Neurospora crassa OR74A: one gene and its partners. The protein of the gene in region 4 interacts with the protein of the main gene of each other region in a pairwise test. Links are inferred from orthologs where the notes say so. Each region holds a gene or a part of one and is shown on either strand. Other genes may lie near its edges.

The links.
Region 1: the proteins of pex13 (region 4) and pex12 interact in binary tests that used the Saccharomyces cerevisiae proteins (3 or more experiments, as listed by UniProt). The link is inferred for Neurospora crassa OR74A from reciprocal best matches to the Saccharomyces cerevisiae genes PEX13 and PEX12.
Region 2: the proteins of pex13 (region 4) and pex7 interact in a two-hybrid assay, tested with the Saccharomyces cerevisiae proteins (2 studies listed by BioGRID). The link is inferred for Neurospora crassa OR74A from reciprocal best matches to the Saccharomyces cerevisiae genes PEX13 and PEX7.
Region 3: the proteins of pex13 (region 4) and pex10 interact in binary tests that used the Saccharomyces cerevisiae proteins (3 or more experiments, as listed by UniProt). The link is inferred for Neurospora crassa OR74A from reciprocal best matches to the Saccharomyces cerevisiae genes PEX13 and PEX10.
Region 5: the proteins of pex13 (region 4) and stk-4 interact in binary tests that used the Saccharomyces cerevisiae proteins (3 or more experiments, as listed by UniProt). The link is inferred for Neurospora crassa OR74A from reciprocal best matches to the Saccharomyces cerevisiae genes PEX13 and STE20.
Region 6: the proteins of pex13 (region 4) and NCU02979 interact in a two-hybrid assay, tested with the Saccharomyces cerevisiae proteins (2 studies listed by BioGRID). The link is inferred for Neurospora crassa OR74A from reciprocal best matches to the Saccharomyces cerevisiae genes PEX13 and AMD1.

The regions. Positions count from the first base shown.
Region 1 is NC_026504.1:5,625,390-5,629,175, forward strand, and holds pex12 (peroxisome assembly protein 12), read right to left. Parts: upstream 2,556-3,786; 5' UTR 2,231-2,555; coding exon 890-2,230; 3' UTR 501-889; downstream 1-500. Other genes in the region: NCU05244 (thioesterase), read left to right, coding at 3,330-3,786. UniProt on the Saccharomyces cerevisiae protein: Component of a retrotranslocation channel required for peroxisome organization by mediating export of the PEX5 receptor from peroxisomes to the cytosol, thereby promoting PEX5 recycling.
Region 2 is NC_026504.1:2,328,885-2,332,777, reverse strand, and holds pex7 (peroxisome biogenesis factor 7), read right to left. Parts: upstream 2,560-3,893; 5' UTR 2,256-2,559; coding exon 1,857-2,255; intron 1,760-1,856; coding exon 1,064-1,759; 3' UTR 501-1,063; downstream 1-500. Other genes in the region: NCU07661 (hypothetical protein), read left to right, coding at 1-322; NCU07663 (GRF zinc finger domain-containing protein), read left to right, coding at 2,987-3,893. UniProt on the Saccharomyces cerevisiae protein: Receptor required for the peroxisomal import of proteins containing a C-terminal PTS2-type peroxisomal targeting signal, such as 3-oxoacyl-CoA thiolase. Specifically binds to cargo proteins containing a PTS2 peroxisomal targeting signal in the cytosol.
Region 3 is NC_026501.1:5,159,126-5,162,951, forward strand, and holds pex10 (RING-1), read right to left. Parts: upstream 2,398-3,826; 5' UTR 2,125-2,397; coding exon 835-2,124; 3' UTR 501-834; downstream 1-500. Other genes in the region: bem46 family protein, read left to right, coding at 1-146; NCU03278 (protein-ER retention protein), read left to right, coding at 2,812-2,902, 2,981-3,826. UniProt on the Saccharomyces cerevisiae protein: E3 ubiquitin-protein ligase component of a retrotranslocation channel required for peroxisome organization by mediating export of the PEX5 receptor from peroxisomes to the cytosol, thereby promoting PEX5 recycling.
Region 4 is NC_026501.1:2,931,090-2,935,247, reverse strand, and holds the start of pex13 (peroxisomal membrane protein), read right to left. Parts: upstream 2,801-4,158; 5' UTR 2,280-2,800; coding exon 2,225-2,279; intron 2,148-2,224; coding exon 1,617-2,147; intron 1,551-1,616; coding exon 763-1,550; 3' UTR 1-762. Other genes in the region: NCU02617 (kelch repeat-containing protein), read right to left, coding at 3,734-4,158. UniProt on the Saccharomyces cerevisiae protein: Component of the PEX13-PEX14 docking complex, a translocon channel that specifically mediates the import of peroxisomal cargo proteins bound to PEX5 or PEX21 receptors.
Region 5 is NC_026506.1:2,078,811-2,082,883, reverse strand, and holds the start of stk-4 (serine/threonine-protein kinase ste-20, variant 1), read left to right. Parts: upstream 1-1,273; 5' UTR 1,274-1,297; intron 1,298-1,404; exon of another isoform or gene 1,405-1,481; 5' UTR 1,482-2,064; coding exon 2,065-3,132; intron 3,133-3,192; coding exon 3,193-4,073. Other genes in the region: NCU03895 (hypothetical protein), read right to left, coding at 29-300, 670-709, 1,060-1,146. UniProt on the Saccharomyces cerevisiae protein: MAP4K component of the MAPK pathway required for the mating pheromone response, haploid invasive growth and diploid pseudohyphal development. Links the pheromone response G-protein beta gamma subunits to downstream signaling components.
Region 6 is NC_026501.1:8,514,715-8,518,699, reverse strand, and holds the start of NCU02979 (AMP deaminase), read right to left. Parts: upstream 2,801-3,985; 5' UTR 2,464-2,800; coding exon 2,454-2,463; intron 2,355-2,453; coding exon 1-2,354. Other genes in the region: NCU02980 (UPD-GlcNAc transporter), read right to left, coding at 3,379-3,985. UniProt on the Saccharomyces cerevisiae protein: AMP deaminase plays a critical role in energy metabolism.

The DNA of each region.
Region 1 (3,786 bases), on a different chromosome or scaffold from region 4:
TATGCATTTCCATTTCCATTACCCCTTTGTTTTCTCTCTTTTTCTCTCCATAGACAGCTACCTAGTCAAGACAGCGTTCTTCAGGCAGAGAAAGGCAGAATATTCACTGGTGGTCGTATGTATATGGTTATACAATGAGAAGCATCGCAATAATACCTACCTACCTACCTACCGAACTCTATCACATCGCCATCCACTTGCTACAGGGTTTGAAGTAAAATCAACTACACTAGATAGCGCTTCTCATCACGGCAAATAATTGACTAGCTAGTAATCTGAAAGAAATTATCGTCAAGCAAGACGTAGACAGACATACAGGAAGATGGGAAATTCCATTTTCATTGCGAATTTGGTCAACATGGCAGGCAAAGTGGTAGGTGCTACCATATGAGTTAAGGTTTGGCACTTAGAGTCCAACAACAAAGCGGGTTTAGCTCAGTTGGGAGAGCGTCAGACTGAAGTCCACTTCACTCATAAATCTGAAGGTCGTGTGTTCGATCCACACAAACCGCATCTTTCTTTTGCCTTTTTGGATTCGCGAAGTACGTACAGGTAGATTAATCGAGTTACTGAAACGGTGTTGATAGACATTCTGATCCCCCCCCCCCTTTTTTTTTTTTTTTTTCTTGCATGAGCTTCGTGTTGTTCGTACGTGAACCATCCGGTTTGGCAGTACAGAAAAAAAAAGAAGATGGCTGTTGACATTTCATCGACCACGAGGTGATAGAGGAATCTGATTGTCTGACCAGTAAGCATGTCCAGTTTTACATGTTCGTTTGCGGTATGTTGGTTATGCAACTTGCCAGATTATATGCCACCATTAAATAATGTCTAATGTTCGCTTTTCACAACTCATGCCAATCCATCATCCTCAATATCTTCTTTCCGGCTAAACCATGATCCGCCTCAGCCCTTCCGTCCCTCCCAGCACTTTCCTTCCTGTGACGGCACATCTCCCCTCTCCGCTCTCCCACTTGCCCTCGCGCTCTTTCGTCATGAACTTCTCCTGCCTGACATGGGTCCCGCTCATCCACTTGTGTATGCACGAAAAGCAATAGACCACACCCGTCTGACACGCCGCCGGCGTCTGGATCTCGTCCTCGCAAATAGGGCACATATCAGATCTCTTGGGTGGTGGCACCGTGAAAATCGGCAACAGCGTCGAAGCCGCTATAGGCGCCGTCTCGGGCGTTGGTTCCTTGCTGCTAGCCTCCTCCTCTGCCTCATCATCCTCATCCGCCTTCTCCTCCACACCATCCTCCGACGTCCTCGTGATCTTGGGTTTAGGCTTATTCCTCGCTTGCGCCTCCACCAGCCCCGTCACCGTCGGCGGCGGCAGATCCAGGCTTTCCGCCGCCTTGCGACTCAGCTGCTTGGCGAAATCCGAAGCGTACCACCACTCAAGGAACTTGAGCGCAAAAATACTCGTCGGCAGCACCAGCGACAGACCGCCCATCAGCCTTCGACTCATATTCCTCGGACTGAACATCGACCCCCCTGTTAATCTGGAGGTAGCGGCGGCGGCCCCCGCTGCCTTCTCTAGAGCCTCAATCGCCTGATAATCCGCCCCGTTCATCCGCCGCACGCGCGTCCCGATCAGCCACAAAAACGGGTTATGGTACTTTGTGTTGTCAAACAGATACCCCAGGTTAAACGCCAAGATGGCAAAGTAATACGCCGCGTTCAAGCTCGGGTACACTTTACGTAGAAACCAGCGGTAGTAATACAAGAACCGCTCCTTCATCGGGGCCCCCTTTGCCGGCGGCCGCGTGTACTGGCCGCCCAACATGGCGCGCGGCGCATCGATCTCGTAGGCCTCGTCCAGCTTGCGTTTCAGGTAGGGGATCCCGACCATGACGGCCAGGTTCTTCCAGATGTCGACATCGGAGAGCTTGAGGGCGTCGCGGACGAGGTTGGGCGCCGAAGAGGCCGCGCGCGGGATCTCGGCGGCCAGCGCCTTTTCGCGCTTGAGGCCGTAAAAGTGCTCGGTGAAGCTGCCGCCGCGGGTTTTGAGGTAGTGGCGCTCGACGAGCAGCCCCGCGAGGGCGTACAGCTCGTCAAAGGAGTTGAGGATGCGCAGCAGGTGGCGCGGGTAGCGGTGGGTGAGCACGGTGAGGAGGTAGCGGAGGGTGGGCGGGAGGAGGGAGGCGAGTTGTTGTTCCGAGAGAAGCTCGAAGAGGGAGGGCTTGCCGTCGTCGAAGGTGCCGCGGAGGGCGGTGACGAATTCCATGGTTGTTGCGACGGTGCCCGGTTGGGTATTGTTACGGTCTGGTGGTTATCGGGGGCGGGATGGGATGGGATGGGATAGGCTCCCGCCGGTTGTATCGAGAGGGGGTGAGTTCGAGGTTCCTCTTTCGGTATGTTCCAGTGTCGCGCGTAGTGATAGGGGGTCGGTGTGACGTTTTACTAGTATTATATCGCCGTCGTGGTTTCCATCGATGGATTTGTTGATGTCAAGTCAAGTTCACGATATAATTGGGATGAATTGAAAGAAACGGGGCGAGATGGACCTGGACCTCGACCTCCTGGAAGTTCGAACAAGGGGGGGGGGACTCAGACCGGGGCCAAGGAGTGGATGCCGCGACGCATCAAAAGTGGCACTTGGTAGCACTGTGAGTGGACAGCTGAAAGTCGGGCAGCGCAGTGGAGGCCTGTGGGTGCTCCCGTCGCTGTCTAGTGTAGTTGCTTGCTTGCTTTTGCTTGCCGCCGCCGCCATTTGGACCTTGCCAGGTAGCCGAGGCTGTCAGGTCATTCATGTACCCCAAGAAATGGGTTGCAACGGATGCCCGCCAGTTTACCCCATTTGCCCATTCATCCCCAATCATCCCCCCCTGTGCCTGTGATGTGTAGTGTAGACTACTGCTACTATGCTAGGTAGTCACGGCAGGCATGGATACCCCCCTCTCCTCTTTTGCTTTGGTTCGATTCCGTCGAGTTGTCGGGCATCCGTTGTCGGTGTTGTTTCCATCCCGCTCTTTTACACATACCTACTACTACTACCTACTACTTGTACCGCCGGTAACACTACATTGATAAATTACCTACTACTTCCCTGTTTTGACTTATTGCCGGTTCCTGTGTGTGTGTGGTACATCGATACTAACCAACACCGACCAAGGCAACTACCTACCTCCCTCCCGTCTACCTACATACACACTACGAGACTACACTACCTCTACTAACGGCAATCTACAACCGCCCTTCCCTGCCGCGCATCCCATTACGGACGGCACAGTGAAACACCGGACCTGCAAGCCACAATCTTATCATTCTTATTTCCCTTCCCTTCCCGTCTTATCGTCTCGTCTCGTCGCTCACGGAGATAAAAGATGACCATCCGTACTTATCATCGCCCAGTAAAGACATCTGAAGTCGTTGTTGTTTCGTTAGCATCCCAAGAGGAGCAAGAAAATACTATGGCCGGTGGTCAAGAAGGAAGAAAGGGGTCGGCATCACCGCCACCACCACCACCACCACCACCACCAGCAACACCACCAAAGAGCGGTGGTGGTGGTCAACATCAACATCCACATCATCATCTGCACCATCTACACCATCTACACCAACAATATCAGCAATTTCAGCAACCGGCACCACCACCACTACTACCGTATCCACAAAGTCAACATTCACAAAGTCGTCACCCGCAGCAGCAGCAGCAGCAGCCACCAAGAAGTGCAGCACCACCAGCACCAGCACCAGCACCCGCACCCGCACCAGCACCCGCACCAGTACCAGTACAACCACCAAGCACTACCGTCGACCCAAGTCTACTGCCATACACGG
Region 2 (3,893 bases), on a different chromosome or scaffold from region 4:
TCACCCGCCCAACCCAAGCAACCCTGTTGCTGTTGAGAACGCCCCCGTGGCTTCTGCTCGAGCAAGCGAGGAAGCAGAGACTCTAGTCGACGGTTTCAATGGAGGCAACAACAGCAAGCGGTACCTAATCACCAAGCAGGAAGACTTTTACCAGGTGAATGACTGGCTCAAATTTGTGTTCTCGAGTCCGGGAGCGTGGGTGTGGTATGCCATTCAGGTGTGGAACTCGATCTTGTGCGTGGTAGGCGTGGTACTATTTGAACCATTGATCAGGGCTATTGGGATTAGGAGGGAGGGAGGCGGAAAGCCAAAGTGGACGTGAATTTCCGAGGATGTTGAGTCTGTAGCCATATTGGGGAACCCCTCGAGAAATTCTATAAGTGGAAGGGGTGCAAGAGATAAGATTGAGAAGATCCAAGCCAAATGGAAGAAATTGGATGTTACAGCACAAACTGGGATGGTGAGACACCAGCTGTATCGGTAATACTCAAGAGAGATAGTCATGGACAAATATGTATACTCAAGTTGACTGCATTCCTTTAATACACTGGTACCACACGTCTCAACGCATAGCGATACTAAGGGTAGAAATTTGAGCTTACCATCATCTCGAATCATGGTATACTGTTCTTCTAATCCTCTAGATGCCTTATACAATTATGTTCTGTCTCTTTCCCGCCCCTTCTCTCGTACTGACCGACTCTCGCGTCGGGACGGTCAATTTAACCCAATTCCTGTACCGATTTATTTCCTACTTTCGTAAGCTCCAGCCAAGGAACACGTTTGGTCAAATCTCCTGTCCGCTGTCACCATGTCTGTTCTGTTCGTATAATGTCGGCTTCTAGACGTACAAACTCCCCGGGGTATCGCTGCGCAACTGAGGGGGCGCTTTTGTGCATGCAATGATTCTCAGCAGCCGATAGTCGATCGGTCTTGATTTTGCCCTCATATCTTCTACTCCTTTACTATCAGGCAGTTTGCCACGTAAATTTGCCTGAGCAATCCACTCAAAGACCAATCAACTCAAATACGTTTTTCCACCTCTTTCAAACAACCTGCTTCTTCATCCACGCAACAGGGACGCAGCATCCCAGAGTAGCACTCTCTCGTCCCAGCCGGCCGACGCGCACCAACCGCCTGCACCGAACAAACACCAATCCACGCCCGTAACAAACTCAGTATGCCTGTTCATAAGGCCCAACTGAGTTCCCGCACGGACAGTGTCAGGCTGGCGCCCGCTCGGTACCGGTGGCTGAACGTGCTGCGGCATAGTGGATCCGTCCGTCCACACGCGCACGCTCATGTCGTAGCTGGCGCTCACCAAGATGTCGCTGGCGTGCGGGCTCCATGCAACGCGGCGGACCGCGTACTCGTGGCCTGTCATGAGCGCCAGGGGACCGCCGGCCGGGTTGCGGATATCAAACGTGCGTATGACGCGATCGACGCCCGCCGTGGCGATCACCGTGTCGTTATATTTGTTCCAGTCGTGCGTCAGGACTTCGTTCGGCACCGTGCCCGAGTAGATGGAGCCGTCGGCAAGGCGCGAGTAACCTGACCCGCCCGTGGCCGGCGCGTGCACGGGGATCACGTTGGTCAGGTGGTACTTGGCCGATACGGGCGTGCGTAGGTCGAAGATGCGCAGGGAAGAGTCGGCGGAGACGGCGGAGACGAGGGCGGCGTTCGAGGGGCAGTAGGAGGTGCTGTAGGTGCAGCAACCAATGGGGAGGGTCTTGAGGGAGGCGTTGCGCGTGGGAGACCACTGAAGACAGAGTAGGAGGATTGTAAGCCAGCGCGCAAGTCGATCGGCCATGATGCTACGATGGTGGGTGGGAGGAACACAAGAGATGAGCACATACAACTTTGACGGTGCCATCCCAGGAACTCGAGATGAAGCTGTCCTTGGTGACGGGATTCCAGCAAACCGAAAACGTTTCCCGCTTGTGTTCGTGAAAGTTCATGACAGGGAAGTTCTCCACCCCCAGGTCGAAGAGCTTGATGGAGCCATCGCCGCAAGCGACAATGAGCTGATTCTCGTTGAGCTCCGACCAGGCAAGATCGTATTGGGCATCGTTTGTCTCAAAGGTCTTTTCGCACTGGACGCCGGCTGCGCTCAGGCCCAGGCAGAAGAGGCGACCGTTGCCGACGATGCCATAGTTGGCGGCAGTGGCGACAGCAAGGCGTGAGTCGTAGTATGGGGAGTACTTGACGGCGTAAGGATTGTAGCCCGGGGTACGAAATTCCAGCATGGACGCCATGTCGAGAAACGTGGGCTTGTCATGTGCTGCCCATCAGGAGGTCTCTGTAAAAAGGTTGGCGTTGCAATGGGCGCACGACCTCTTAGCCGACGTGAGTGGTTGACAGCCTAATGAATCTGCCAGCGACGGTCGCGAGATGAGGCGTTGCACCTGGAAATGACGGCGACGGCTTGGACGTATCGGTAGGGTTTGAAACGGGCGTCGGGTGTAGGTGTTGGCAGAACTTACTGTGACGGGATGGAAAGCTGGTTGGAAACTAATTGAAGAACGCCAAACAGCGACAACGCCGTGGGGAAAGCCTCGGCTTGTCAGCTTACATCTGGATATTAGTGGGGTACCCCGGAAGCCCGCCTGGCATCCAATCCATATCTGGTCGGCACGTTGCCCCTGCCGCGGGCGTGGAAGCCCCGGGCCGTAACGGCGTGAGCCCCACAGCATGGATGGATGTGCTCGCTAACTCTCTAAGGGATAGCGCCTACCCATGACGTCGCCCCAGGATACGTAAAATATAGTGCACACTAGAAATAAGTACCGACGTGTCCCCGTGACAGCGCGTGTTTGGCCACTTTCAATCACGTCCCCCTCCTTCCTCTTCGTAACAAGGACGCGTCTGAAAATACAAATCCATGTTCATCTTTCATCCCACGCGCATCTAACCAGCGTGAACCCGGCCATGGTAACAGACACTCCAACATGTCGAGATTTTGTACTCCTTCCTCTAAGCCGTGGCAATGGACAGGTTCATAACGAGGGGGAAGAGGAAAGCCGAGTTGACGCTGGAGGAAAACGTGGACACCACGCAAATAAAGCAGACTATCACCGCCTTCAATAATCCCATTGACAACACTCCGGATGGCGATGGAGAATCAACCGATATCAAACTGGCCATACTTGCTTCATTGCATCCAGACTTCGGTCATGATGCGTTACTGGATCTTCTAATCACCCACGATGGATCCGTGGAAGCCACCACGGAGGCTTTGAAAAGTGCCCAGGGCGCAGGGCAGATAGCCAAGAAGAAGTCGTCAGGTATTATTTCACAGGCTTCTTTACGCTCTTTCGCCGTTCCATCTACCACCGGCGATGGCGACCATGGCGGTGCTAGTATTATCCCCAAGAAACCCAAGCTCCTTTCCCGGAAAGGCGCAACACTCCATCTCTACGACCCCTCCGACATCAGCACCCACACCCCTTGCACCGTCATCCACAACTTCCTCCCCCCTTCGGTCGCCAACAGCCTCTTGGTAGAACTCTTGGAAGAAGCCAAGACCTTCGGCAAAGCCACGTTCAAGCTCTTCGATAACGTAGTCTCTAGCCCCCACACATCCTGCTTCTTTGTCGGGAGCGATTACGAGCTGGCCGAGCAAAAATCGGCCTACTTCTACAACGGCGCGCGCCTCTCCGATATCCGCCGCCTGACACCTCAGCTGGAAACAGTGCGGCCGTTGGTGCAGGACGCCGTTAATACCGAGATCCAGAAGCGCATCCGGACTCATCACCTGTACGGCGGTAAAAAACTCAAGTACCAGTCCCCCGACCGTTGGTCGCCCAATGCGGCGTTTGTGAATTTGTACGATGGCCCGGAACAGAATGTCGGCTGGCACAGCGACCAGTTGACTTATCTTGGTCCGCGAGCCG
Region 3 (3,826 bases), about 2.2 Mb from region 4:
TTTATCATCTCTCCAACGCTCCGATAAAGATCTGGAAGCCTCTTCCCAACGGCGACCATAACTCGAGTGTCCTCGAAGAAGGCTACTTTGAAGCCATCGCAGAATTCATCCAAAGGGTTTCCTCAGGAGACCCCGAAAAGAAATAGCTCGATTCGACAACGAAATCCGCGCCGTCGCTCTCTCCTCATTCCATACGGTAAATGGGTCTTTCTGTTGAAGGGGAGGCATATGATGTGCCCACGATCTTGATGACGCGAAAGCGTCCACGATTACGAGCTGTTGGGGGACAGCGAAGCACAAGTACGACAACCACGACCTTGGTGGCTTGATGCTTGAAGATGGGTCGGAACTTGAGGCTTTCATTGAGGTGTCATATTTTCTCTTTCGCACCTCGTGTATGTATTTCATGACCCTTTGGACCTATGTCGAGGTTGCTCGGGTCTTGATTAAGACCCAAACGGGACGAGACTCGATATTAATCAAGCAAGAGAAGTTTTTGTAGAGTAAATACCAAATATTAATATCGGACAAGGAATAATTCAATTTCATACTTGAACATATGTGCATTAGCTTGTCAAAAGTTCCTGACCTTTTGAGAATATGTCGGATCATTCAATCATTAGGCTATGTACGAAAACAGGCTCTCTCTCCTGGCAATATGCTTGCTGCATATACAATTATCCCTAAACCGCAGTTGTTGACTGTTCGCTCCTTGTCATGTGCAAATACTACCCAAAATCTGTTCTCGAGAGGACGTTGTAAGACTCCTGCTTTTTGTCATATCTCCCGTATATTAAGTATTTTGTCCCCCCCGACCGCCAGAAAAGGACTGCTCTAAGCAACCCTCAATGGCAGAATATGCTGTACCATCGTCTCACGTCTGCACAACGGACACTCAGGCTTCTCGCGCACCCAGTCTCCAATACACGACCAGCAGAAGACATGTCCGCACTGGGTCGCCGCCGGGTCCTTCAGCTCTTCCAAGCAAAGCGTGCACATCCTCTGCTGTCTCCCCTTGATCCAGCCCATGACCTCCTCATTCGCCGCCAAGTCGTAGTTCGCCCTCCCGCCCTTGGGCACAGGGGTGTGCGTCGTCCGTCCAATCTCCGCCAAACTACGCTGGTTACCCGACTTGCCCGTCTCCACCAGCAACTCGTTATTGCTGCTATAGGCATTCTCATCTAACGACACATCCAGTGTGCCCGCAGCGCCCGGCCCAAAGGCGCGCTCCCGAATGCTCGCCTCGGTACTGGCCTCCTCGGCACTAAGCGGCGAAGTTGACGACAGCTGCGCCGTCACATGCAGGTATCCCCGGACGAGCATCTGCACCACCAGCAGCACGCCGAGCACTTCATAGCCCGCGCGACCGCCTTGACCCTCCTCGATGCGCCGCGTGAACACATAACGCAGCCCGAAGAGGCGCTTGGAGAAAGAGTAGTAAGCACCCGAAAAGTAGAATACGGCCAGCGTCAAGGCGTGCAGGTGCGCGCCGCTGGTGATGGAAGTCAGGTGTGTGAGCAGGTAGCGCTTCACGCGGTACTCAAGCGTTGACACTGTGGAGAAACCACCGCCCTTGTTGTTGGAGGTAGATGGGGTGGCGCCCTTGGTGTCGCCGCGGCCCTGGCGGGCAAGCACGGTGAGACGGTCCTGGAGGCGCTTGCGGAGCGCGGCGCGGATGGAGGGCAGCAGGCGGCTGAAAAGGTAGGGGACAAGAACGCTACTAACGATGTAGCCGGCTCGTCGCTGGAGCGAGGGCAGACGGGGGCCACCGGCTTCGCTGCTGGGCTCGACGGGGCTTTGGGTGTCTGGTATCCTGCCGTTGCCGCCCGTACTCGGCTCTTCGACTTGGACTAGGTCGCAGTACTCCTCGCCTAAGGTGCGGTTGCCGAGGAGGGTGGTGAGGCATAGGTAGAGCAGGTCGGCAGCCGTACGGGTTTCGGTGGCCCAGGAGTGGGCGGAGCGGGCACCGCGAACGCGCCGGTGAAGGTCGGTCAGCTGGTTAGTGAGGACGCCCTGGAAATAGGCATCTTTTTGATGCGCGCGGATAATGTCGGGGGCTGCAGCGAATGGATATGGCGAGCTCGTGAGCGGCGGAGGAGGCTTCTTGGTGGCCGTCAATGACATGGTAATTGATGTCGTCGTTTGGGTCGGGTCGGGTGGGCTCGAAGTCGGGGGGGTCAAAAGCTGTGTTTACACGGTCGACGTATTCAGGGGGAACTCTCGAACCCTAGGAGAGCTCGTATGCCTACAGTCGAATCGTCGAAGCTGTGGCAGTGGATGATTAAGTCTTTTCGATCTGAAATTATCCGAGTTGTTGTTTGATGTTTCGAGATCGACAGGCGGCAGTTGAAGCTGAGATGAAAGTGGTAGTCGGGAACGGATGGACCTCGGTCCTTGGGGTTAATGGGGGCAGCACGCCCGGCGCCGCCCCAGGCGTGGTTCCTCCTCACAAGGAGCGAGCTGAGGAATTGGCAGGGGGGTGCCCAGAACGTCGTAGCCCAGGCTTTAGCGGCAGGGATGATGCAGCGGGTTGTCACAGGACGGGGCCGCGACCAGGGGTTGCACTGACGTCGGGTCTTCTCCCTAAGCCAAAAAGAGTGCACGCGACAGGGGCTTGGCAACTCCGGTGTCTTTGCGACAGCTACCACAATACAGATGAAATTAAAATTTCCATCTTGACACTTGACAAACTCCAAACGCGTTACTGCTGGGAATTTGATCCCAAGCCTATCAACTCTTCTTTGCGTCCAACTGTTACTTCTCCCTCTCCGCATTCCATGACGGACAGCAAATTGACCGCTGCCTGGCGCAATGGACGGTGATCCCGTGGTTGAGCCGGAGCTCGACTCCTTCAGCTTGACCTTTCCCCTTCCCTACCGGGTTGCCTTCATCGTGATCATAGGTATGTATATACAAGTTTCCTACCGTATGTTTGCTCTCTGGATACACGGTTGTAAACTGACTATCTCTGGTTGATTAGCTGTTTGGGGCTGGGGCCTCAACCTTCACTTCCTCCATAATCGCAAGATCGACGTCCCCTCCTTAATCCGGTACCCAGGAAGATCGAGCCCAACCCAGCTCCCTCACCACCACTCGACATACCGTCTTGCGACTCTTCTTTCGCTAAGCTCCGCTGTTTCGATTCTCACATTTTGGTCGTTTACCAGGCGCGATCCAAAACGCGTTATCGACTATGACTGGATTCCCATGACCAACTTGGCAGTGACCGCAGCCCTCTTCGTGCTACCCCTGCGAAGACTGTCTGTTTCGCACTCCGGTCGACGTCGACTACTCGCAACTCTGCGCCGCGTCAGTGTGGGAGGTTTGGCTGAGGCCAAGGATGGAAAGTTTGGGGATATCTTGCTGGCTGATGTTCTCACCAGCTACGCCAAGGTCCTTGGGGACCTGTTCATATGTCTCTGCATGTTCTTCACGCGGAATGGGTCTGCTACTGACCGACCCGATCGCAGCTGCGGCGGCACCTATCTCGTACCACTTCTCCTGACGATACCAAGCGCTATTCGGCTGCGCCAGTGTCTTATCGAATATCTGCGCGTGCGAAATTCCCCTTTCAAGGAGTCCACGGGCTGGGGTGGACAACATCTCGCCAACGCGGCCAAGTACTCGACCGCGTTTCCTGTTATCATTCTAAACGCCATGTTGCGTAACGCAAACACCAGCGGTACCCCAACTACGAGCCTGTACCGTGCATGGATTGTTGCGTGTCTGCTCAACTCACTCTACAGCTTTTACTGGGACGTTGCCAAGGATTGGGATCTCACCCTCTTTGCTGGGGCACAGGAACGCAATTCTCCCGATCATCCGT
Region 4 (4,158 bases):
TAGGCTAATTAGCCACGCTTCGTTCCATCCCTGTGCCATCGGTGTGGTCACCGCCTCACATCGCCTATCACTTCCCTTCATCCCCCCTTTCGATTTCACACCTCGTGCGTCCATGTCTTTCAGCGTTCGCCGCTTCCGCTTACTCCATGCATCCATTCATCCATTTACCATGGCCGTCCTCTGTGTCTATATCTCCCTTTTGGCTCGCTCGGGTATTGACTTATGGTGAAAAGACGTTTACCCACGCAATAATCGTGTCATGCAGGTGTATAAAGATGTGAGAGTGTTTGTCATTCTCTTAATAATGATAATGCCGTAACTGACCGTTGTGGGCATGCATGCTTGTTTGGTGACGTCTTACACCCTTCCGACGAGTTCGAAAACTTCCGGAAATGCTCCGACTGATTATCTCACCGCGCTCTCGTGTGCCTCTACGTAGCTGCTTGGTGATTTTTTCCTGGTAGGAAAGTGTGGTCATTTCCACCAGGCTGGGCGAATCCGAATCAAGGAGAATCCGATTTTGATTTGATTTGCTATTGTGTCTGATTGTTGTGTTGGAGAGGAAAGCCGATTAGATGGCCATTGGGTGTTGGGCCACTCCCAGGAGGCCGGCGCTTTGCACATGGTAGATCCAGAGCTCGCACGATCAGGCGTGTATTAAGAGAATGAGACCGAGTGTCGAAGCCGAGAAGAGCGTGGCATGAACCGCGACGTCTCGATGTGCATTTTGCTGAGATCATTCCGCCTGCGTTCCTTGCCTCCCTAAGAAAAGAACTGCGACTTCTGGAAACTCTCGACGCTAATATCGCTAGCCTTGGCCGCCGGTAGGGCCGGAACCAGCACTTTCTTATCCGCGTCGCTGAGGATGCTGCTCAGCGAGTTGGCCCTCGTGTCGCCGTCAATGCTGATGGATGGGGCCCCAGCAATAGCTGCAACAGGCTGACCTGGCTTCTTAAGTACCTCGAGGAAGGTGGCCGGTAGATAGCCAATTCTTCCGTCGCGGGCGCGACACTTCCACCACTCGCTAGGCTGGCCGAGAGGATCGCTCTTGCTGAGAACGGCAACCAGATCACCCTTGTGAACTTCAAGGTCTACGCCCGGGACGATCTCGCCATTCCCCTGCGTGGCGGGCGAGAAGTCGTACAGGACGCGGCAGAACTCAAGCTTGGTCGGGTCGATGGTTTGTTGTTGCGCGACAACGAGCTGGCGCTTCTTTTCCTCTTCCTCAGCGTTGGAGGCCAGCGACTTGATCACCCTGCTCATCACGTAGGGCAGACCGAAGGCAGCGAGAACGAAGAAGATGAGGGGCTTTCGGCTGGGCTTGGGCATGGCACCGGCGGCACCACCGGCAGCCGCTGCAGCACCGCCCTTCCCGCGTCCATCAAACATGGCAAAAGAGGCTGGATTGAGGCTGGAGACATCGGCTGGTAGAGGCTTGCCGGTGATCTTGGCGAACACTGTCCTAATCCAGCGCATAATAGTGAAGATGCCCAGAATGGAGCCTAGGGTTTGGCGAAGATTGCCAAACTGCTCTGCGACAGCAACCATGGCTGAGCTGATGTTAGTATATCAGTTGCGCCTGACTGGAGGTGGGCATGTAGGATGATATAACCTACCAAAGAAACTCGAGTGTGTCGCCATATAAGTGCTCTCAAGCATTTGTGCAAAACCTCCGAATGCGCCGACAATGCCTTCCAGCATCTGGAATGTGGCCATCGTACTCATGTTGAAGCGGTTGGTCAAACTTTCCGGGTTGTTGGGATCGCCCGGCATGCCACCCATACCTCCTCCATACATGCCGCCGCCGCCGTACATGCCACCGCCGTACATCGACCCGCCGTAACCGCCGTACATTGAACTGCCGTATCCGCCCATACCCCCATACCTGGAATAGGGGCTGGAATAGGGCGACGAGTATGCTGAGCCGTATGAAGAGCCGTATGTTGTGCCGTACGAGCCTACGCCGACCCCGTATGGTGATGTACCCATCGCGCCCATTGGTCTGCTGTAGTTGGCGGCATTTTGGTTGACGGAGGCGGTCAGACTGGCAGGTCTCGCGGGGATGGCCGGGGTTGAGCCTGATGTTGTTGTTGTCGTGTTTGACTCTGGTGATGGCGTCGCGGCCGAAGAGGCTGCTGGTGCGGGCGCTGTGTCATTGCGGATTCAATGTCAGTGCCCTGCTTGTCGGGCGCACATGGAATGGTGAACGGGAAAAAAAACATACCCGATGCGCCAGACGTCGCGCCTTGTCTTTCCCACGGTTTCGGGGGGGATGCCATGGCGATTGTGTGTGGATTATCTGATCCTCCGCCGTTGATGGCCGGTGGTAGTGCTCGAGGAATGACTTCGATGGACCGGTAAAGGGAGAAGACGAAAACAAGGGGGGTTTACTGGTGGCCGCCTAGTTAGGGATGGTCCAGTCGTCAGTCTTAAGCGATGGGACAGAATGCGTGCGATGCGACAAGCGTCAGGACCGCTGCACTTTGCTGCTGGGAGCTGGCTGAGCGCCTGGGCTGGCAAAGAGTTGCCGCAGTGGCGAGGGCGCTGGGCTTAGCTGAGGATCCCGGTTTGGCGGCTTCCTCGCGTAAATTCGTTCAGGGAAGGGGAGCGCGAGAGAGTGTGTGCGAGTAGATCAGGGCCAATAAGTAGAGTCAGCGGGCGTGGCATCAGAGGATAATTTATCGTAGTCTTATTCTCGACTTCTTTTTGGGCCCTTCGGGTATAAAAATGTCGACTTTTCCTAGACCACTATGGGGAGGGGATCGAGCATTGACAGGAGGGGACGATGTCGTAGCAGCGGAAAGGTGGAGAACGTCAGTCCGGGAGCGACCACTCCTGTTGCTTTTATCGCTTTCGGACGGCTTGTGAACCTCGGCAACATTTTAGCGGGTAACACTGCCTGCATGGACACTTTATGTATGGTAGGTAGGTACCGACCCAGCATGGTCAGCTGCATGCTGGGCATCGTGCTCGTCTTTTACGACTCTGCAGTCTGCACTCCACGAACATCAGCATGATGTAAGCTGTGATAAAGGAAAACGTGGATGTACGCAGTATAATTGTTCCTTAACATGGTGGATTGAGAAATGCTTGCACGTCAACGTATTAAGCTCGCCAACTTCCAAGTTCAGGGGGTGCGGTATATCGATGATTCTGGCAGGTTGCAACCAAGGTCGGTTGTTTTGTAATTGCTCGATGCTGTTCTCTTTCAAGACCTAATCAACAAGCCAACCTCAAATTCAGATCAGTGCGTATGAATGTCCGAATAATAGTTCGGATTGCCAATATGGACACTACTAGCCGTAGGACAGAAAGGAGAAACGACCAGTCTTACATGCACGCTAACAATGAATACCCATCAATTACGCCAACGCCTTTGCAATGCCTCTGTGGAATAGTAAGCATCTTTCCCCGATCCCATTGGGTTTCCTGAATGCCTCCTTACTAAAGGATGGCCGAGAAGCTCATCGCACGAAAAGCCAAGTCTGCCCAACCTATCCTATCCATCACATCGGTCATACCTCAACCCAAAGTCCTGACTAGGGACCTAACACATCTAGCGGGCCTGCGACCCCTTCAGTGCCGATTCCCGTCGTGCTAAAGGCCCGCCCTTTTGTCCAACTAGCCACTCTTTCCAGTCCGTGCTTGTGTATGGAACAAATCTAATGACGAGGAGAATAACGACGAGGTGAAAAGACATCCTCTGCCGTGACAGAAAGCGGAACCTAGCTGTTCATGACATCTCCATGCCCTCGTCTTCATCAAGCTCGCTTTCAAGCACTTGCGTATGGTTGCTACTAATGCTCCCTTTACGCCGTGACGAGCCAGACCCTCCGTCGTGGTAACGACCATCGATCCCCACCATCAAATCAAGCTCGTCACCGCCAACCACACGGCCTTCCATATCAACTTCCTGCGAGAGCTCCACCAGAGCCGCCCGAGGAAGCCTCTGGAAACCGAGCGTGCGTACAACCCTGCCCCAGTGCGTCATACAGAAGGTGGCAGCCCGTTTCCGCAGCCACTCTTCATTCGCCATGCCGGCGCAGTACCAGATGATACATGCGTGATCCACGTCAAGCTCCTTCGCCAATCTATTTACGCAAAGGAGGCGAAGATGTGGAATGTTATAGATATTGGACATGACAAGAAGGCCGGCCA
Region 5 (4,073 bases), on a different chromosome or scaffold from region 4:
AATGGTTTCCCGTTTTCAAAAAGTTCAATTATGCGAATACATAGCACGGTCCTATCGCGCCGAGCTTGAACACGCGAGGAGCATGAGCACCTCCCACCTCACTGTGCGCAGGAGGAGGGGTTGTCCCGGCCGTGATTGACGCGGGCAAGCAGAGATTGCGGCTGTGTTGTATGTAGATAGAGGTACTGTACTGACTGTCGAACAGAGACCACAGAACACCGCAGAGGTTGCACGCAGACTCGTTCTCCAAGATGCCAGGCCAGATCAGGATCGGAACCTGGAATGCCCTCGAGTTGACGTCTACATTGGAATCGAATCAAGCTGACGGCGTCAAGCAAGGTCCAGAGCGGGTGTTGGAAGCAACCTCGACGACATGATGCCAAAGTCAAGAGGAAACGAGGGGAAAAGGTTGAAGAGGTGGTGGCGCCCTGGTCCCTGTCAGTCTCCCGTGCAGAGTGTCCCCGCCATCGCCGTTCCGTTGCCGCCGGCGGTTGAACAAAAAAGTGGGCAGGTGAACTGATGGAACTTGAAGCCTCTCACAGGCGCCTTTTCGTGGTGTTGTAGTGGTAGCAGTGGCAGCAGTGGTCGAAAGTGGCTCTCTTCAACTGCAATGGCACTGCACCAGGCAGTCTAGGTAGTCCCACTCTCCCGTCCCCCACCCGTCCCCACCTGCCCTGTCTGGCAGAGGGGACGGGACTGAGATGTAGAACTAGAGGTAGGTAGTGTAGTGTAGTGTAGACTTCAGTTGCTTCCCAGAAGGCCGGACACACTCCCGCTGTCTGTCTAGAAGCCGAAAAGTGCATGTGCTGCCCTCTTGTTGTGCGGTGCAGTGTGCAGATGCAGCAAGCAACAGCCGCCCGACAGCAGTCACGAAGCATTCGAAGGGAATAGGTAGACCTAAGACCGACACAACCTCAATCATAGTATGCTTCCCTGAACTTTGCGTCCGGGCTTCCTTGTCTCCAATTCTCATTTGGCATCTGCAGGCCGAGTGTCCCCGCCCCGCCCGCCGTCCGACCGTCAGCAACACCGGACGACAGCCAGACAACTTCAGACGACAGCAGCAGTAGCAGCCCAGCAGTAGCAGCCCAGCAGTAGCAGGAGCAGCAGCAGCATCGCCGCGCATAGCCGACACCCGTCCGCCATCTTGGGTTCACTCATTTGAGCCCGGCCAACAATAAGTCGATAACGAGTTTGACGAGATTCGTAAAATTCGACAACCCACAAACTGTCAACGGCCACACATCGACACCGACTCGTACAAAGTTGGACCACCATTGGACACACCCTGCCCAAAGCAAGCAATCCCCCGCGCCGCCCAACCAGTCACCCACTTTATCCAAGTCATCCAATCCCTCTCCAGTCTGCGCACTTGTAGCACCAGCACCATACTGCTTGGACTATGCCCGACCTTGCCCTGCTCAATCATCAATTGGGTGCCGTCCACAAGCTAACGTCTGCTCACCACTCTCAAAAGGTAGCCGGACCCTGACCTTCTGATAAGCATACTAAAAAGCTTCGAGATCCATCAAAAATAAATCGTCATTCAAATAGTCTAGAGAAAACAAGCGGAAAAGTGAAAAGCGCCAGCCTAGTCCGAGTTCCCACACAGCAGTAACAACAGAAAGCATCACCCCTTCTTCAACGTACCCAGTCCCCGCCAAACCCAGCATCGCCGGCGGTCCGGGGTCTGTCTTTTTTTCCTACCTTGTACCTTCAACTTGTACACAATCCCACCACAAACCAAAGCGCAATTTTCGACCGGCATCAAGCTTCCAGGATCCCGTCCCCCTTCAATTGTCGACTTTTTTGCTCTTGTCCGTTCTGTGTCTGTGATTCTGGCCTGCCAACTTATCCCGCCCGCCTCAATAACTGCTGCCACCCCCCCAATTCCCGTCTCTTCTCCCAAGTCTCGCCTTCTTTTGGTTGACCCGGCCCCCAGCCAAACCGTCCGCCAGTACCGTACGTTGAACATCTTCCTTGTCTTTTCTTATTCTTAGTTACCCCATCTCGTAGCCCTCGTGCCCTTCCCTACGCTAGGGTTGGGTTTCTCTCGCAGTGACCATGGACGGCCAGCTCTCCCTCCTCTCGCCCACCTCGTCCTCCTCCACTTCGCATAGTCGCAAAAGACTCACAAAGAAGCAACGCCCGCCATCCGCAAATCACCGCACTAGCTCCTCTTTCAATGTCGAATCGCTCCGTATTGACGCCCAATCTCTAGACAGCAAACGGAGCGCCTCCAGCCTGCGCCAGGGCCCCAACTGCAACCAAAGCCCATCTCTGGCCAGGACCGTATCCGTCCCAGTCTCCGTCCCTTCAAACGCGCCCGCCCACACCAAAGCCAGCGACCTCTCTCTGCCACGCTCCCACACCACTCGCTCTCAATCCGCAAATCGCCCTTACAATCCGACGCAGACAATACCAACCAACCGCTTTATCCTCTCGCCGGCCTCATCGTCGCAACCCCAAACTCAATCGCCGCCTTATCCCAGCGCTGTTGCCAGCACCACCGTTACTAGCTCCAGGAACAAGGACACATCCAAGCAGTACGACCCACTAGACTCCTGCATTGGATCCTTCGATCAAAACAAATTATCCACGGATGAACTGATTGGCGCTCCATTCGACGGCAACGCCATTCTCAGTCGAATCGAGGCAACAAAATTATCAGCCGCGCCCGCGCCCACGTCCACGACCACGATTGCGCACTCCAACAACATTTCTCCTCGTCGTGTCGCTCCTCCTCCTCCTCCTCCCCCGCCTGCTCTATCGCGCTCAAACACGGACTCCAAGGCTGCGAGATCTTCAAAACCGTCAAAGTCGCCCAAATCCACCATATCAAACAAGACCATGGGCGCATCTTCATTCCGCCACTCGGCGAGTTTCTCGTCGGCTGAACAACTTCCGCCAAGCGAAAAGCCGTCCAAGTCAGAGAGCAGCTCTTCGAGTAACAAGAGACACTCCGGTGATGGTAAAGAGTCCAGGGTGCCCGGTATGCTAAGGAAGAAGTCGGGCTTCTCCGGCTTCATGAACAGCTTAGTTGGGTCTCCGAAAAAGCCATTGATTTCGGCGCCAGAGAACCCCGTTCACGTCACACACGTCGGATATGATAGCAATACTGGCCAGTTCACGGTATGTTGCCATGCCATGTCAACTAGTCTGAATGTTATGGATGGACTAATACGTTGATAGGGTTTGCCAAAAGAGTGGCAGCGTTTGATAAGCGAGAGTGGAATCACTGAGAAGGACAGAAGAGAACACCCACAAATACTGGTCGATGTCCTCACATTTTACAAGGAGACAACCGAGAAGCCACAGGAAGATCAACAGCTAGAGAAGTTCCACGATGCACGAGCGACAGATTTTCGCAGCCCGCCCGTGACCGGCACCGCTCCGCTCGTACTGCAAACAGGCGTTGGCTACGCTCATGGTCCCATGTCGCCAATGATTAGTCCACCCGCTAGTCCTAGGTTTCCTCAAGTTGGTCATGAGGGCAGCTTTGAGAACCCCCGTGCGCCGCCGCCGGTTCCCAAGGGCCCTGGCCCTCTTCCAGCAAAGGATATCAACTTGATCCCCAGCAGACCGGCACCGAAGCCACCAGCAATATCCACACGACCGCTGGTGCCGCCAGCCTCATTGCCAGCCAAGGATTCAGGAATTGGCATGCCACCGCCCGGTGATGAGGCTCCGATGCCGTACCTCCCTCCCAAGGATAATGTCCAGCATATGTACCAGGAGGAGCACAGGAACAGGTCCAGATCGAATTCCCGGACAAACGGCGCTGCCCCGTTCTCTCCCGTGCAGGCGTCCCCACTGCATCCGATCGCCACGGCGAACCAGACTGCGGCTTATCAGCAGCAATTGTTGCAACACCAGCAAGAACAGGCCATGGCCCAAGCCCAGGCAGCAATGAGCGGTCAACTGAGCCGAGCTGCAAGCAAGAGACAACAACCAACTCCGCCCACCTCACAACACCAACACCCCCGGCAGCCAGACATCAATGGGGCTCCTCGTATGCCACAGACTCAGGGGGCGGCTCCCCAAGCTAGCGCGAGACCCCGTCACAGACCGCG
Region 6 (3,985 bases), about 5.6 Mb from region 4:
GGAGAGCGACACGTTGAGGCCACGCTTGAAGTATTGGTGCATCGGGTTTCTCTCGTATGCCAAGAACAACGCGTTGTTGCTCAATGGCGACATGGCAATACCAATTTTTTCAAGGTAAAAGACGTATTGCAAGACAGGAACCTTGCGCAAGAGAAGACCGTGGCTGATGCTGTGGCAGCACAGAGCAGCGACGGCAAGATGCTCGCTGTCACCCGCTTCACCGCAATGGGGACGGAGGACAAAAGTGTTGAACCCACGCCTCTTGCGCCAATGGTTAAGCGAGGCCATGTTCGCATACAGGTAATAGATCCAGTAGCTGTAAGGAGGGTTCTGCTTGCCGTCCCAAATCTTAGGGACGGGGAACTTCCTGAACAGTCGTCGCTCGACCTTGCTTTCATCGTCGACACTGTCCAAACCAATGACTCTCTGCAGGAAGATGTGCAGCTTGGGGTGGCTGGAGGGATCCTTAGTGACCTCGAACAAGGGCTCGAAGATGTTCCTGACAATTTCCTCAAACGTGTTTACGCCGCCACTAGCTTTGTAGACATCGTAAAGGCGAGGAATCTGGACGAGCCAGCGGACGTTGTGAGAGAACAGCTTGTTGTCGACAACCCAGCTGGCAAGCTTGTCCCACTCATCGAGGGACTTGCCGTAAATAGACACACGCCACTCAACCATCTGGTATTTGCTAGACTCCAGATCCGCAATGACTTCCTTGGTGATTTCGGCCAGGTAGCGTCCGTTGATAAAGTTATCGGTCTTGAGGAAGATGGTACGCAAACGCGACTCGCCGATTGGGTTATACTTGAGGTTGAACTTGTCGAAGCGGTGGAACGAATCCGTGTGAGCATGCATATCCAGCGTGTCGATACTGAGATCGTACGCTGTGAGGTTGAGACTCTCGAATACCTCCGCTAGCGTCAAGTACTTGCCATCTCTGTAAAGCACAATCTCGTCCGGATACTTCTTGATCTTACTCTTGATAAAACGCAAGAGATGCTTCTGGTTCATGCAGGCCGAGTGGTGAACGTGGGTGTCAACCTTTCTGACGTTATAGAAATCACGATGGGGCACCTTCTTGCAGTCGGCCGTCTCATCGTATCCTTCCAAAAGCACATAAAGGTCGAACCGCTTCTCGAGGTACTGAAGACGTCTGAAGGCAAAGCTCTTGCTAGGTCCGTCCGAGGAGACGGACAGGATGGCTTCCAGATCCAAGTAATACTCCCTCAAGGTTGGGATCTTGATAGCTGGCTGATCGGCCTCTTTGTGCTGGTCGTTGCTGTAGATCTGGTAAACACCATTTTCATCCAGTTTATACGTAAAGTCATCCGGACCAGGCACAGGCAACAAGTCCTCAAGCACAAAATCTTCGCCAATATCCTGCCCAGGTTTGCGCCTCTTGCCCGTCCACTTGTATGGGGTGCCAGAGGACCCTTCGTGTTTGTCGTTATTCAGTATCATGCTGTTCGCTAGGCTGTTTCCGGCGCTCCAAGCCGGGCCCGGGGGAGGAGGATAGATGACCCAGTTAGGATCATCCTTAGGGTTATCATGCGGCCCTTGGAGGGACAGATTGATGTACTTTTGCCGAAGATCAATGATCTTCTGAACGCCCTGAAAGATGCCAGTAAGCTCCGCAGTGATCTGAGGGTCTGTGTCCATATAAGTACTGCTTCCAATACCAGAGACCATGCCGGTGTTCAGCAACGTCTCCCGCTGAGCAGCCTGGTTCATCCTCCCCGGCAATGGCGAGCTGCCGGTGACAGTCCGAGTATGACTGTAGCTGCCAGACAGTCGCGGCATCTTTTGCCGGAGCGAGGCCTCGATCAAAGGATCATTGGCAGGGCCGGCCTTAAGCCCAGTGCCCATCGTGGACTCGGGAGACAGGATGGCGCTCTGGGAAGAGTCCGTAGGGATTTGCCTTGTTACAGTGCCGTGACCGTGGCCTGGCGCGATGAATGGGCTGCCAGTGGGAGTAGCGTGGCCGTCTGTAGGAATCTGGTTTCTCTCGACCTGGCTCCGTTGATAGAACAGCTTGGCGTCTGTCTGAGTCATCTGGCGCTCGGTTACGGCGTCGTAGAATGTCGTCTTTTTGGGCATATCTCTGAGAAGCATGCCCTCTTCAATCTCTGCGTCTGTCGAGTGGTTCCCGTTGTTGGCCAGGTCGCCGTGGCTACCAGCGCTGCCAGGCCTGCTGCCAAGGTGGTCATGCTCGATGGTGTTGTCGAACTCTGTGTCACTCGTTTCATGAGCATTGTACTCTTCGTCGTCGGAATCGCGAGCCGGTAGGTGGCTAGCCGCGAAGCTGGGAGACGTCGGGCTTGACGACTGGGTGTCGCGCGCGTATGGGGAGGGTCCTAGCAGGAGATCATCAGACCACGATCATGGAGGCATTGAAGAGCACATTGGTCAAGGACGGGATCATTGCGGGGGACGCTGTGGTTCCTGCAACTTACCACCACACATAGTAGCAGTCTAAAAGCGCAAAGAGAAGGTGAATAGTTGCTGCTGTATTCGGGTGTACACAGCGGAAGGAAGGTGATGACAGCGAGGGGCAGATTTGCAAATTCTGCCCGCTGGATGGAAGCCCCAAACAACGATTGGCCGTTGTCGTCTTTGGGCACAGTCACAGTTTTACCTGTTTGCTTGTTGTCCGACGTATACGACGGGTGACGACCTTTTGACAAGGTACCGAACTTGGCTTGTGTCAGTTGGTGCTGTTCTTTGGTGTAGTGTTTAGGTTTATGTTGGGTTCAAATCTAGAGAGAGGACTACAGAGGAAGAATGACTATCAGAATCGAACGCCCAGACCAAAACCCCTCCAAACTCTGATCAAGACTGATAGTCCGATACGGAGATAGGCCTATAACTGCCCTGCCACACAAAGGTGGTTTAAACTCTTGGTTACCAAAACCACGGGCACCAAGAAGCGAACGGGATCTTCCATCTGCCGCGTCGGATGACGCATCGCAACCCCACCATAAGGCTCTTGCAGAGTTGCAGGGGTGTCTCCCGTCGATGGACCACTAACGAGCTCCCTGCGGTCTCTTTCGGCCCCATTTCTGCACCCACTGCGCCTGACAGAAGGACCGCCCGTAAAAAGGAACTGCTTGCATTCTGACCCTACCGCTGCAAGGGCGCAAGGTGGCTCCTGGAGACAGACCCCTGAAGATTTATCAACAGGGCGGTTCCGGCCCTTATTCTCGGTCACTTCCGGCAACAAACAGTCAAACTATTACCTAAAAGCAGACTTCGAGCCCTAGGAGGATCGGTGCAGAATCCGAGTTTCATTCCAAACTGTCAGTCGGACACGGTTATCCCGGCTGCTATCGAAGTATCAACTAAATTTCCACCGTCACAACAAATCAACCCTCAAACGGATCATGCCTTTTTGAGCGGCGCGGACGAGACCCTCCGGACCGGAGCCTTCTTCTTCCCGTCCAGCGAGTACAGCCCGCCAGCGCCGAACACTATCACGGCTCCCACCAAGGTTCCAAACGCCAGCTTGTTCCCGAACAGCCATATGCTCAGTAGCAGACTGACAAGCTTCCGGATATTGAGGACGATCGTGACTGTCAATGCAGTCGAGGCTGCTGCCAAAAGATTGACTCCGCGGATGCAAGCATACTGGGTCAGGACGTTTAGCGCCAGATAGAACAGTTGACTGGGAATGTGAATATTCTCCAGGAACTTCTGGATGTTGGGCGACAGATTGGGGTACTCTTCAAAGTCCGGCAGCGGTAGAGTCAAGGGCGCGCTGTTGGCCAGTTTCTTAAATTGCGTCTTCAACGACGGCCAGAAAAACAGAAACAGGGGCAAGGACAGGAGATGCGAATAGAAGAGGTTCTCCTTCCAGTGCGGGCCATATTTCTTGTAAGTTTCTTCCGTGTAAAGGCCCATGACAGCCGATAAGCTCTGGGCAACGAAGAGAATAGCAAGTCCAATGCCAAAATCCGAGTTCTTCTCATGAGTCTCTTTCTTGCTCGAT